Drosophila melanogaster: one gene and its partners. The protein of the gene in region 3 interacts with the protein of the main gene of each other region in a pairwise test. Each region holds a gene or a part of one and is shown on either strand. Other genes may lie near its edges.

What was found.
Region 1: the proteins of CG6769 (region 3) and CG13689 interact in a two-hybrid assay, tested with the Drosophila melanogaster proteins (one large-scale study listed by BioGRID).
Region 2: the proteins of CG6769 (region 3) and CG6654 interact in a two-hybrid assay, tested with the Drosophila melanogaster proteins (one large-scale study listed by BioGRID).

Annotation. Positions count from the first base shown.
Region 1 is NT_033779.5:600,885-604,133, reverse strand, and holds CG13689 (uncharacterized protein), read right to left. Parts: upstream 1,322-3,249; 5' UTR 1,264-1,321; coding exon 1,128-1,263; intron 1,061-1,127; coding exon 795-1,060; 3' UTR 572-794; downstream 1-571.
Region 2 is NT_033777.3:15,211,509-15,215,263, forward strand, and holds the start of CG6654 (uncharacterized protein), read right to left. Parts: upstream 2,151-3,755; 5' UTR 2,078-2,150; coding exon 1,958-2,077; intron 1,893-1,957; coding exon 755-1,892; intron 700-754; coding exon 38-699; 3' UTR 1-37. Other genes in the region: CG4210 (uncharacterized protein), read left to right, coding at 2,525-2,599, 2,662-2,713, 2,782-2,857, 2,918-3,239; SIDL (shal interactor of Di-Leucine motif), read right to left, coding at 3,353-3,582.
Region 3 is NC_004354.4:17,859,024-17,862,778, reverse strand, and holds CG6769 (uncharacterized protein), read right to left. Parts: upstream 1,778-3,755; 5' UTR 1,616-1,777; coding exon 1,100-1,615; intron 942-1,099; coding exon 579-941; intron 506-578; coding exon 155-505; 3' UTR 4-154; downstream 1-3. Other genes in the region: Arp8 (Actin-related protein 8), read left to right, coding at 2,053-2,057, 2,126-2,711, 2,777-3,755.

The DNA of each region.
Region 1 (3,249 bases), on a different chromosome or scaffold from region 3:
GGTCGTTCGCAGTTGTCGTCGCCAGTCGTGATTTCAGTGGAGAATGAGGAGCAGGTGGGAAACGAGCTCCGTGGGGCGGAGGAGCTTGGTCAGGAGAGAGAGGATGGGGGATATAAGTAAGCCAAGAAAATCCATTGCCACTCAGAGTCGGACGTCTTAATTAGGTTTTCTGCTGAAAAGTGCCGAAAAATGTTGGCTAATGCCCAACTTGCCACGCCCACACGAGCAGCAGACATTGTCTCTGACCCACAAATGGTCCTCCATCCTACCAAAAGCCCCTCTCCCTTTTTAGTCATGCCCCAATTTGAAGCTTTCTTCTGGTTCTCCCAGCGCGATTATAAATGACATCGCATTAGTCTTGGTCGGGTTAATGTGCGTTTCCTTTGGCCAAAAAACTGCCAACTTCGCACAACTTCATTAGTGGAGAACCATGTGAGAAAAGCAGAATATCAGACACTTGTCTCCCGCTTGAAGAGTTCCGGGAATTAAAGTACAGTTGCTTTTTCGTCCTACGCAGGTCTTGATTCTAGCCCTTTGAGGCATTCAGTTAGAATGGCTAAGTATGAACATTAAGTTATCAAAACATCTTATATACTTAATACGTTCAAGACAAAGTGCTACATATAAAAATATCCCCTATAAAAGGTACATTTTCTGCTTACCAAAACTAAATACCAAACCTATAAACTTGAGCTTAAATTATAACATTTTACGTAAGATACATTTTTAAGTCATTACCAGATAAAAATGAACTGTAAGTTTTCATCTGCGTAAAAACCTATTTTACCAAAATTCTAATCTAAAGAGTCGGTGGTTTGGGCAGTTCTTCGATCCCTGAGTTCCTGCTGATGCTTAATGGTCACCTCGAGGAACTTCAGATAGCCCTCGTCAATGGGTTCGATCTCCTCATCCTCGGAAGAACTCTCGTACACGTAGTCCAGGCAGTGAAACGTTCCTGTTTCCTTGGGAATATCCTCAAGGTCCTGATCCAGATTCGGATTAACCTCAGGGCAGAGACTCATAACATGATTGTGGTGCCATTCAAAAAGGCTTTGGTATACTACAATAACAGGGAATTTTAAATGGTTAACACTATTAAAAAACTTATTAATGACTATTATTGTTACTTTGAGCCACATTGCTCCACTGATCTCGAGATGTATGTGGCTTCGGCTTTCCCTCACTTTTCTGCCTTCGTCTGCGCTGCTTGCTCCTATTCCTGTTTCTTTTCCTTGCCATTTCCTCCGATTTCCAATCCTCCATTGGCTTTTATTAGGAAAATACAAACATTCGTCGCCTTTTGTTTACTTCTCAGCATAAGCAATAACAAGATTGCAGTGTTGCCAAATTATCCAAAATGTGGCCAGAAACTGAAATCTAGCGACCGCTTCACAGAATTATATATTTTGGTTCATATGAAGCGCTTTAATAATGATTCATTATAATTTTGATTTGGCAATTGGTTGTTTTCTTTGTAAATAATTTTAAATAATATCTTTTTAAAAGCAGTTTAAGATTGTGATGTGAATAATCGTCTATCGGACTGTAACAGCTGTTAATTCCAGTGTGTGTACAGATTGTAAACAACGCGAACTCCAGATGGCGTCTTATTACTGTTACCGGAAATTAAGTACAGGGGCTTTCAGGGAACAACAGATGGCGCCACCATGTTACTTTTAGATATAATAATTATTGTTTCTAACTTAGAATCTCATAGATACATATTAAAAAAAATTGTCTTAAAAATCAATACAATATATTACAAAATTTATATAATTAATAATTATGAAATTATGCCGCAAATTAATGAAATGAAATTTTATTCATTTTTGAAGAATTACTTATTCCAACAAAATCTCTTCATTTCTTAAATGATAAAACCCTTATATTTCCCTGCCCTCGCGGCCAACCCCTTGAAGGCCTTTTCCGGTCAACCGACTGACTTCAAAACTCTGGTTCAGACCTTCCCGGCAAAGGGCAAGCGCAAAGTTAAAGCCAGAGCAGAAGCCAAGCCGGATCGGACCGAAATCCAGATCCAAGCCAATCCCAGCCAGAAACATAGCCAAACCAGGGCTAAGGCTAAAGCCTGAGGAAAAGGCAGAGGAGTTTTGTTTTTCTAGCAAATTCAAATCCCGCGCTTATAAATCTCGGTCGATCGGTCGGTCGCTCGAAGTAGCGAAGAAGAAGTTCGGGAACCAAAACTAAAACTGGGATTAGGGCGGATCAATTTGGCTGTAGTGCGAATGCAAATTGGCCAGCGGTACGATTTAAATGAGGCGGCCAAACAAAGAGCACATTGATATGGAGTGCATCCTGCTGAGCCGGAACAAAAAGTCCGGGTATGGATGCACTTCCACTTTACCTGCCTCGTCCGGTTCATAAAGGAAAATTAGGTTTACACCTTCCCGGCCAATATGTTCATAAAACAATTTAGAGATTTACAAGGGGATCAACTTGAATGTGGTGCACAGTACATTCCATCCAACATATCCTGTGCCCCTCGTTCTTTTTTCCGTTCTCTTAAGTGGGTGTGGGTGTGTTTGTATTGCGGTTTTAGTGTAGCGAAAAAGGCGCGTGGTTATGGTTATGGATACGGATACAGATATGGATATCATGGCCATCATCCCGCCCATCATCCCTCACTTTTCCCGAGCAATTCACACATGTTTACTTTGGCAACTAGCGGGGGGAACGAAAGCTCTTCATTTCCGATGAAGTAATATGCGTTCTGATAATATGAAAAACATCCTGCGGCCAGGATTTGCACGCACTTATTCCCTTTTAATGGACTTGGCCAGCGATTTTTTGCCCGCATTTATTTTGCATATTTTTTGCGCGCATCGAAGCCAAAAAAAGATTTTAATTCGAGTGGTTCCTACGTGTGCTGGTGCCAGTAAACTAGTTCGGAAATTCGAATTTACATTGAAATAATTTCAGATTTGGAGAGCATAAACTTATAGACGACGTTGGTCAGGATGGCGGATCATGCTCAAATAGAATATAATATATAGTATATATAGTTGAAAACAGCAATGAAATAAGCTTCTAAACTATAGAATGGTGTAATTTTTACGGTACCATGACTTTTGTTTAATTTTTACATATTATTTTTTATAATTCTTCCATTCGGAACCAGTTCCATTTCGGCTACTCGATTCGAATTCCAAGGAGAATCCTCGCCGCGGGGAACTGGGCGATTGCTACTTACTTGAGCTACATTAGGGACAATTTGCATTTGCACGGCTCGCA
Region 2 (3,755 bases), on a different chromosome or scaffold from region 3:
ACAAAAGCCGCCTTGCTTGCACAGCTTCTACATTGATTTATAGCATAAGCGCAGACTCGGTCATCTCGTTAAGTTCCTCTTCAAGGGCCCCGCTTCCGTTTTCCTTGTTGCTTAGAAATGTGAAGTGCACCAGGCGTTTGTCGTGCTGCTCGTGGCCGGCCAGATGTGATCGCATCTCGGGCATCGACTTGAACTCCTCATTGCACACCGGACAAATGTAGATCCGCTCGCCCTGATGTGTACGCTGGTGCATCTGGCAGTCACCCCGCTGCGTAAAGGTCTTCGAGCAGAAGGGACAGACGTACGGCCGCTCACCTGTGTGCGTCCTTCGGTGGTTCTTTAGCACATTGAGGGCAGTGAATCTCATGGGGCAGAGATCGCAGGCGTATGGCCGTTCGCCAGTGTGCTTTCGTTTGTGCTTGGCCAGGGAGCAACTAGTGGTGAATCTGGCCAAGCACACCTCACACTCGAAGGGCTTGTCGCCGGTGTGGGTGCGTGCATGAGAGGTGAGTTCCGCCTTGGTAACAAACGAGTGCGGGCACAGCTCGCACTTGAAACTCTTTGTCTCCGAGTGACGCAGCTTGTGCTGGCGCAGATTGGCATTCTGTGTAAAGCTCTTGCCACAGATATTGCACACAAAGGGTTTCTCGCCGGTGTGGATGCGCATGTGGTCACGCAGCGTGGACAGCATGGTGAATACTACAATATTAAGAGACAATTAAATAGGATTTTCGACCACTCTTTGTTATCTTACCTTTCTGACAGATATTGCACTGATTCCGCAGATTCCGCTTGTGGCCCTGCACCATGTGCTTGCTAAGTGCCTCCTTGGAATCACAGCGTATTCCACACTCCGGGCAATTGTGGGCACCATGACTGGCCTGGTGTTCCGCCAAGTGATCCGGCGACACGAAGACCTTTTCGCACTCATTGCACTTGTAGTTGCGATTAATGCAGCCCTTTTGGCGTCTGTGGATCATCAACGATTTCTCCACCGCGAATCCCGCATTGCAACGATCACAGTGATATTTGAGCTCAGGGGTAGTAGCTGCTCCTGACGTTGTGCTTGGCCCGTTTACTGTTCCCGCTCTTGGCGCGCTGAGTTTTCGCTGTGTTCCTAACCGATGCTGTTTGGGGGAAGGCTCTGCATCTGACGGCGGTGTAGCCGGTACATCCTGCTTGACAACTCCGCGACGCCGTGAGGTGCGCTTAGCCGACTGAGGTACTTGTTCCTTCTCTAATTCGCGTGCTTCCTCCTTAGAACCCACAGGAGTCTGATGCTTATCGTTTTCCTGCTGCGTTAGAAGCTTGGCAGCGCTCTTTCTGGTGGTTACCTGCGGAGCGGTTACTGTGATGATCTCCGCCTCGTTATCGACACCTTCGAAGATGGCCAGGTTACATTCCCTGATCTGCTGTTCCAGCTCGTGGTCGTCGCCTTCGTAAATAACATTGGTTTGGGTAAACACAACTTCCTTTTCGTCCTTCAAGTTCCCCTGGACCTGCAGGATGAGGCTGGTGGTCTTTTCGACGGGCTCATCCGGCAGCTCGTAATCGAATACCTCGCCCTCGCCTTCGTAGTCCAGGTCCACTGAAATCGTTGACTTAATCAGGCTGGTATTCTGTTCGGCGTCTGTGGTAGTCACTGCGTCCGTTTGCACGGAGGCTGTGCATCTGTCCGGCTCCCAGCTAGTGGTCTGCACAGCCTGGTCCGTCGTGGCCACTGGACAACTGATAGACACCTTGCTATCGGGCTCCTCCGGCAACGCATTCGGCAGCAATTGGCGCAGGGTGCGACTGGAGTTCTCGCACTTGATCTTGAAGGTATAGCAATTGGAGATTTCACTCAAACAGCTTAGGCACACCTTCTCGGGCAGATTATCGTTGCGGCGGGGCTTGAAAACGCGAATTAAATCGAGATTAACATGGAAATCAGGATCACTCGGCGAAGGCAACTCACCTTGGTTTTTGTGAACTCCCGGATCATGTCCGCCAGGCAGCTGCCGGATCCGCCGTCGTAGATGGACAGGAGTGGTCCCGTGGAACTCAGGCAGGTAAGACAGATCTTGTCCACATCCATTTCGCGACGCAATCGGTCAAATGCAGAAACAAAATAAAACAATTAAATAAATGCAGTATGGCTGAAGTTTGTTACGCTGAATATACCGATGCATTTCAAGTGCACCTGGTCACACCTTTAATGCTGTTGGCGGCCTTCGCGCAATTCAAAAAATAATTCTAATGAGTAAAGAAGAGTATTAAATAATCTAATTTTATGGCGATAAGTGCATTGAAATAAAATTATTTCAAATGTGAATCGTATATATACAAGAATCTGGGCTTATTCTTGTTTCATCTAATTTTTTTACTTATTAACAACAAATAATTCTTTTCCCAATCGATATTGAGTTATATTAAATTGTGATCACGAGAGTTCGGCTCATCTCTATAGATTAGAATTGTTTCGACAAAAGATAAGCTCTTTTGACCATAATCAGAAAAACACAGGTTATAAAGATTTCCCACTATGTCGAAATCCGGAGAGTTTACATTCCGGCGTGCTCTAGCTGAAGATATTAAAGATGTGCTCTCCATGATTCAAGTTGAGTTTTATAAGATTCCTATTTTAATACCAATTTGAGATACTTTTGAATTGATCTGCAGGAACTGGCTGACTTTGAGAAGATGAGCAATGGTCCCCAGCTAACAGAGGAAGGTAAGAGATGGCGAAACCCTTACCATAGTAATGAAATAATGGTAAAGTAATGGATTGTAATATGACAGATCTTAAACGAGACGCAGGACTCACTGGTGGCCAGGAGTATTGTGAAGTCTATGTGCTTGTAGACAACGATACTGAGTAAGTGCTGTAGTTCTTGGCATGACCTGATTAACTTGTGGGCTTGTTCTCCTATTCTAGTCAGGCGATTGGGTACTCCATTTGCTACAAGGCATACTCAACGTGGCAGGGACGGTACTTCTTCGTCGAGGACATCTATGTCCGCCCCGAGCACCGTAAACGCGGCGCCGGAAAGCGAATCTTCTTGGAGGTTGCATCGCGGGCTGTAGAGCTTCAGTGCCCTCGCCTGGAGTTTAATGTACTGGAATGGAATCCTGCACGCAAGTTCTACGAAAGTCTTGGTGCCGTGGATTTGACAGATAAAGAGGGCTGGCACTACTACCGCGTGGAGGAGCAACAACTGGCCAAATTGGCCGCGGATCTGAGGGCAAAAAAATCTTAACTTGATTTGATTTTCAATTTTTACTACTTTATAGTAGGGCGATAAATAATTAATAATACTTGGCCATGGGCCATATGTGCTATGAGTACATTGCAATTAATTCGTTTGGCTTCTCATTGATCCCCCGCCACACTTGCGATGACATGGATCTGCATGCTCTTCGTGGAGTTGTAGACTTGACCGGGCGGAAAGGGATGCACCTTGGAGTGGCCATCGGTTTTACTTTTGCCACCGGCAGTATACTTGGATAATCGAATGCTGGGCATTGGTAGAAAGCCGGTGCTCAGCGGCATTACATCCAGCGATATGGAATGACTGTCGACGTCCTTCATGGATACGACACCTAAAAGGTTAAGTAAAAATTAGTTAGTCAACAAGTACAGACTGTTGGTTCATCGAAGTAAGCCAATTTTCTTTTTCAGTGTTAAATGTTTCCAATCAAAAGCAAGGGCAAATCTAGTTAGTGCTACGTGTGTCCTATTCCAAGGAACTTACCCATATCTTAAAATGCAAAAG
Region 3 (3,755 bases):
ATTGTTAATTTAAATTATGTAATTTTATTCGACGAGAAATCGCTAGTAATATAGAAAGCAAACAAATATGCTTAATTTAAGCAAAACTCAAAAACTTTTTATTGTACAAGTAGGGGGGAGGCCAATAGCATTTGGAAAGAAAAGCAAGCGATGATTAGATCAGAACCTGTGCACGATAGTGCTTCTGCAGCTTATTGGCCTTGCAGCCGAGCTTCATCTGCCACTTGGACTGGACGCGCTTCATCAGATGAATGTCGCGTGCCTTGCGGGCGGCGGACAGCTGCTGCGTTTGCGTCCAGCCCAGAGCCCGGTACTCGCTGAGCACGCGGTGCAGTTTGCGGTCGGACTTCTTGATGACGACGGCGCGTTCCGGACGAAGACGCTGCTTGTAGTAGCGAAGCAGGGAGCGATGACCAATGACCGCGCCTGAGGGCAGCACCAGCTGATACTCATCGCCATCGAGCAGATCCGGCACCACCTCTTCGTCAATGTCCATGCCCTCATTCTGTGCGGGTTAAAAGGTTTTCCAAGATTCAGTCAGCATAAATGGAGGTTTGCTTGTGCTATGTGATACTCACATTGTCCGGATAACTGCTGCTGTAGTCGTAGTATTCGGCATACTCGGCCAGCGCCACACCCTCGTGCAGCATCTGGCAGTGGCCCTTGTCGATCATGTGTTTGCGCACGGCGTCCAGGGAATAGAAGGTCTTGCCGCGATCGTTGCAGAACAGGCAGATGAAGTAGTTGGCCACCTTCTCGCCCAGGTAGTACAGAAGGCCCTCGATGTCCGTGCAGTACTCGGTGTCCGGAATGAAGAACGAGTGCGCCACGGACATGTGCTTTAGGTTCTCCACCAGATCCTCGCTGGCATGTGTGCAGAACAGGCAGTCGCGCTCGGTCAGCGGATTCTCGGGTATCTTGTCCCACTCATCGGAATCCACCTGCAAAAAATCAAGTTGTTCTTTATAAGAAGCTGTATACGTTGTAAAGGTGCATATCTTAACCAGGCATAGAATCTCCAAGGAAATCATTCTCAAGGTAACCCTTCTATGAGCAAGGAAAAGTCTAATGCGAGCTCTATCTGCATAGCGCTTCCTACCTCCTCCTCTTCAATGTCCTCGAAATCATCGTCGTCCTCGTCGACCATCTCCTCGTCGTTATTGGCCTTGACCACCCGCTCCGCGAAGGCCAGTCGACCCTTGCCAGCGGCTGCGGCGGCCAGGGCCGGATGGGGCCGCTGCTCCACGACGCTGCGCGTGCACACGGATGTGGCGGTGCTGGCGCTGCCGCCGCTAGCTGTCATCTGCTCGCGCTCGAAGCGGGCCAGCAGCTCCTTGTGCTTGCGGCTGTTCAGGTGGTTGTCGTGCGCCTTCTGGCTGGCGAATTGGCGTCTGCAGGCGTGGCAGTAGACACTTAGGTTCTGCTCCTCGAGTGCCGCGTCCGTGGCGCTGCGGGCGCTAAGAACGCGCTGCTGGAACTCCTCGGCCGTAACGGGCGGCAGCTGGGCCACCCTGCGCTTCAGATTGTAGCGATGCCAGTCGGTCTTGTAGTGATTCCGCTGCACATCCGCGCTGGCGAAGCGGGCATCGCAGTTCAGGCAGGTGAAGTGCGACATTGTGGCGCTGAGTGGATTCGATGATCGCTTGACTGGCACTCTCGTTTTCGTTGGCACTCTGGAATGGCGTATTTCACAATGGAAAGTAAGGCTGCTCAATTTAATGGTGATGATTAAAAAACAAAACCACGTTCTTGACAGTGTGACCAGACGGCACTCACGTCGGCACCATCCACACACAATATACTAAACAAAGAATTTGTTATATGTTATATATATGAGTGCTTTGAATTTCAACAATGAATTAATAGTAATTAATGAAAAATGAGTTTTGTAAATCAGCCCTATTTTTTTATTACTTTAACTTTCTGTTTTTCCTGTGTTCCTGTTTTATAAATGTTCTCATTTGCGCACCACGGTCACATTGGCTTTGTTGCCATTTGTTGTTGCCTCCGATTTCCGCATTTTCAAAGGATCCGGATTTCGGAAAGCAAACGATGCAGTAAGTGAATAAGTAAGTGGTATGTGAAGCAACTAATTTTGCAACTTGGCTACTCTCCCTTCGTCCAGACGATCCCGAGCCAGCAGCACCAGCAGTGGCCGGCATCCGGCGCCGCCGCCAATTGGGCTGCCCCAGCCGCAGGCGCAGCCACTGGAGGCGCCAAAGATTATCGTCATCCATCCTGGATCGCAGCACTTGAGGATCGGCAGGGCGGCCGACCTTAATCCGCTGACCCTGCTGCACGCGGTGGCCTACAGGAGGCGTCCGGGGGCCAGCGATAGGCCGCATCATGATCCGCTGCTGCCGCCGCTGGACAACGTCAACTCAAACTCCGGCCTGATGGTGGAGTTCGAGGAGCAGCGCCTGGTGGTGTCGCGCATTCTGCAGCACTGCGTCGTCGATAACAAAAACCGGTTGCGGGTGGCCACTCCGCCGCAGCAACTGGCCCACTTCAACCGGAGCAGTCAGGCGGAGAAGGTGCCGGCGCCCAGTGGCCAGATGGCGGACGAGCCCTGGCTGGATCGCGAGGCACCCGTGCTGTTCGACGACCGTATCCTGCGACTCGGTGCTGTGGATGCCCGCAACTACGACATCCATTTTCCCATTCAAAGGGGCGAGCTGAATGTGCACAACGAGAAGGGCGGCTCGCTACAAGTGTGTGCTGCGTTGTTCCTCGTAGTTTCCAAACTAAACTGATGAAGCTGTTTTTTTTTTTTCAGGCCAGCATGCAGCACTTGGAACGAATCTGGTCGTACGCCCTGGAAGAGCGTCTGAAGATCCCGCTGCGTAAACTGGGCACCCACTGCGCCGTCTTGGTGGTCAACGATGTCTATGTGCGGCGGCATCTGCGCGAGTTCGTGACCCTGCTGCTGAGGCGTTTGGGCTTTCGGCGCTGCTTCCTCGTCCAGGACAGCGTCGCCTCCACCTTTGGCGCCGGCATTGGGTACGGCTGTGTGGTGGACATTGGCGCCCAAAAGACCTCCATAGCCTGCATCGAGGACGGAATTTCGCAGCTGGATGCCAGGGTGCGGCTGTCCTATGGCGGCGGCGACCTGGATCAGGTGCTACTCCTGCTGCTGCGAAAGTGCGGCTTTCCCTATCGCGAGTGCAATGTGCAGGAGAGCTATGTGGATGCCCATCTGCTGGACGAGCTGAAGGAAAAGTTTTGCCACCTGAACGCCAGCGTTTGTGGCGCCCAGGAGAAGCACTTCAACCTGCGCAAACATAACGGCCAGTGGCTGCGCTACACCATACAGGTGGGCGATGAGGCCCTAATGGCGCCACTGGCCCTCTTCCACACGGAGCTGTTGAACATCACGGGCCGAACGAAAGCGGTTTTCACACAGCAGGCGGTGCAGGACCAATACGACTGCGAGGACTGCTTCGATGCGGAGTATCTGAAGGAGACGGGTCGAAAAAATGGCGTAAGGGGTGGCGACATCTTGCAGCTATCCACCAGCGCCGGATACCAGCCGCGGCCGCAGCTGCCTGTGACCGCCGACGATGAGGAGCTCATTGTGGTGGATCAAGACGAGACCATCAGCAACTGTCAGTCGCAGCTGGGTGCACAGACAGCTGGTGGGCAGATGAACTCGAACGGCTGCTACCACAACGGCCAGGGTCTGGTATTGCCCTTGGACCAGGCCATAATCCAGTCCATTAACCGGCTGTCCAGCTACGAGACCAAGCGCAAGATGT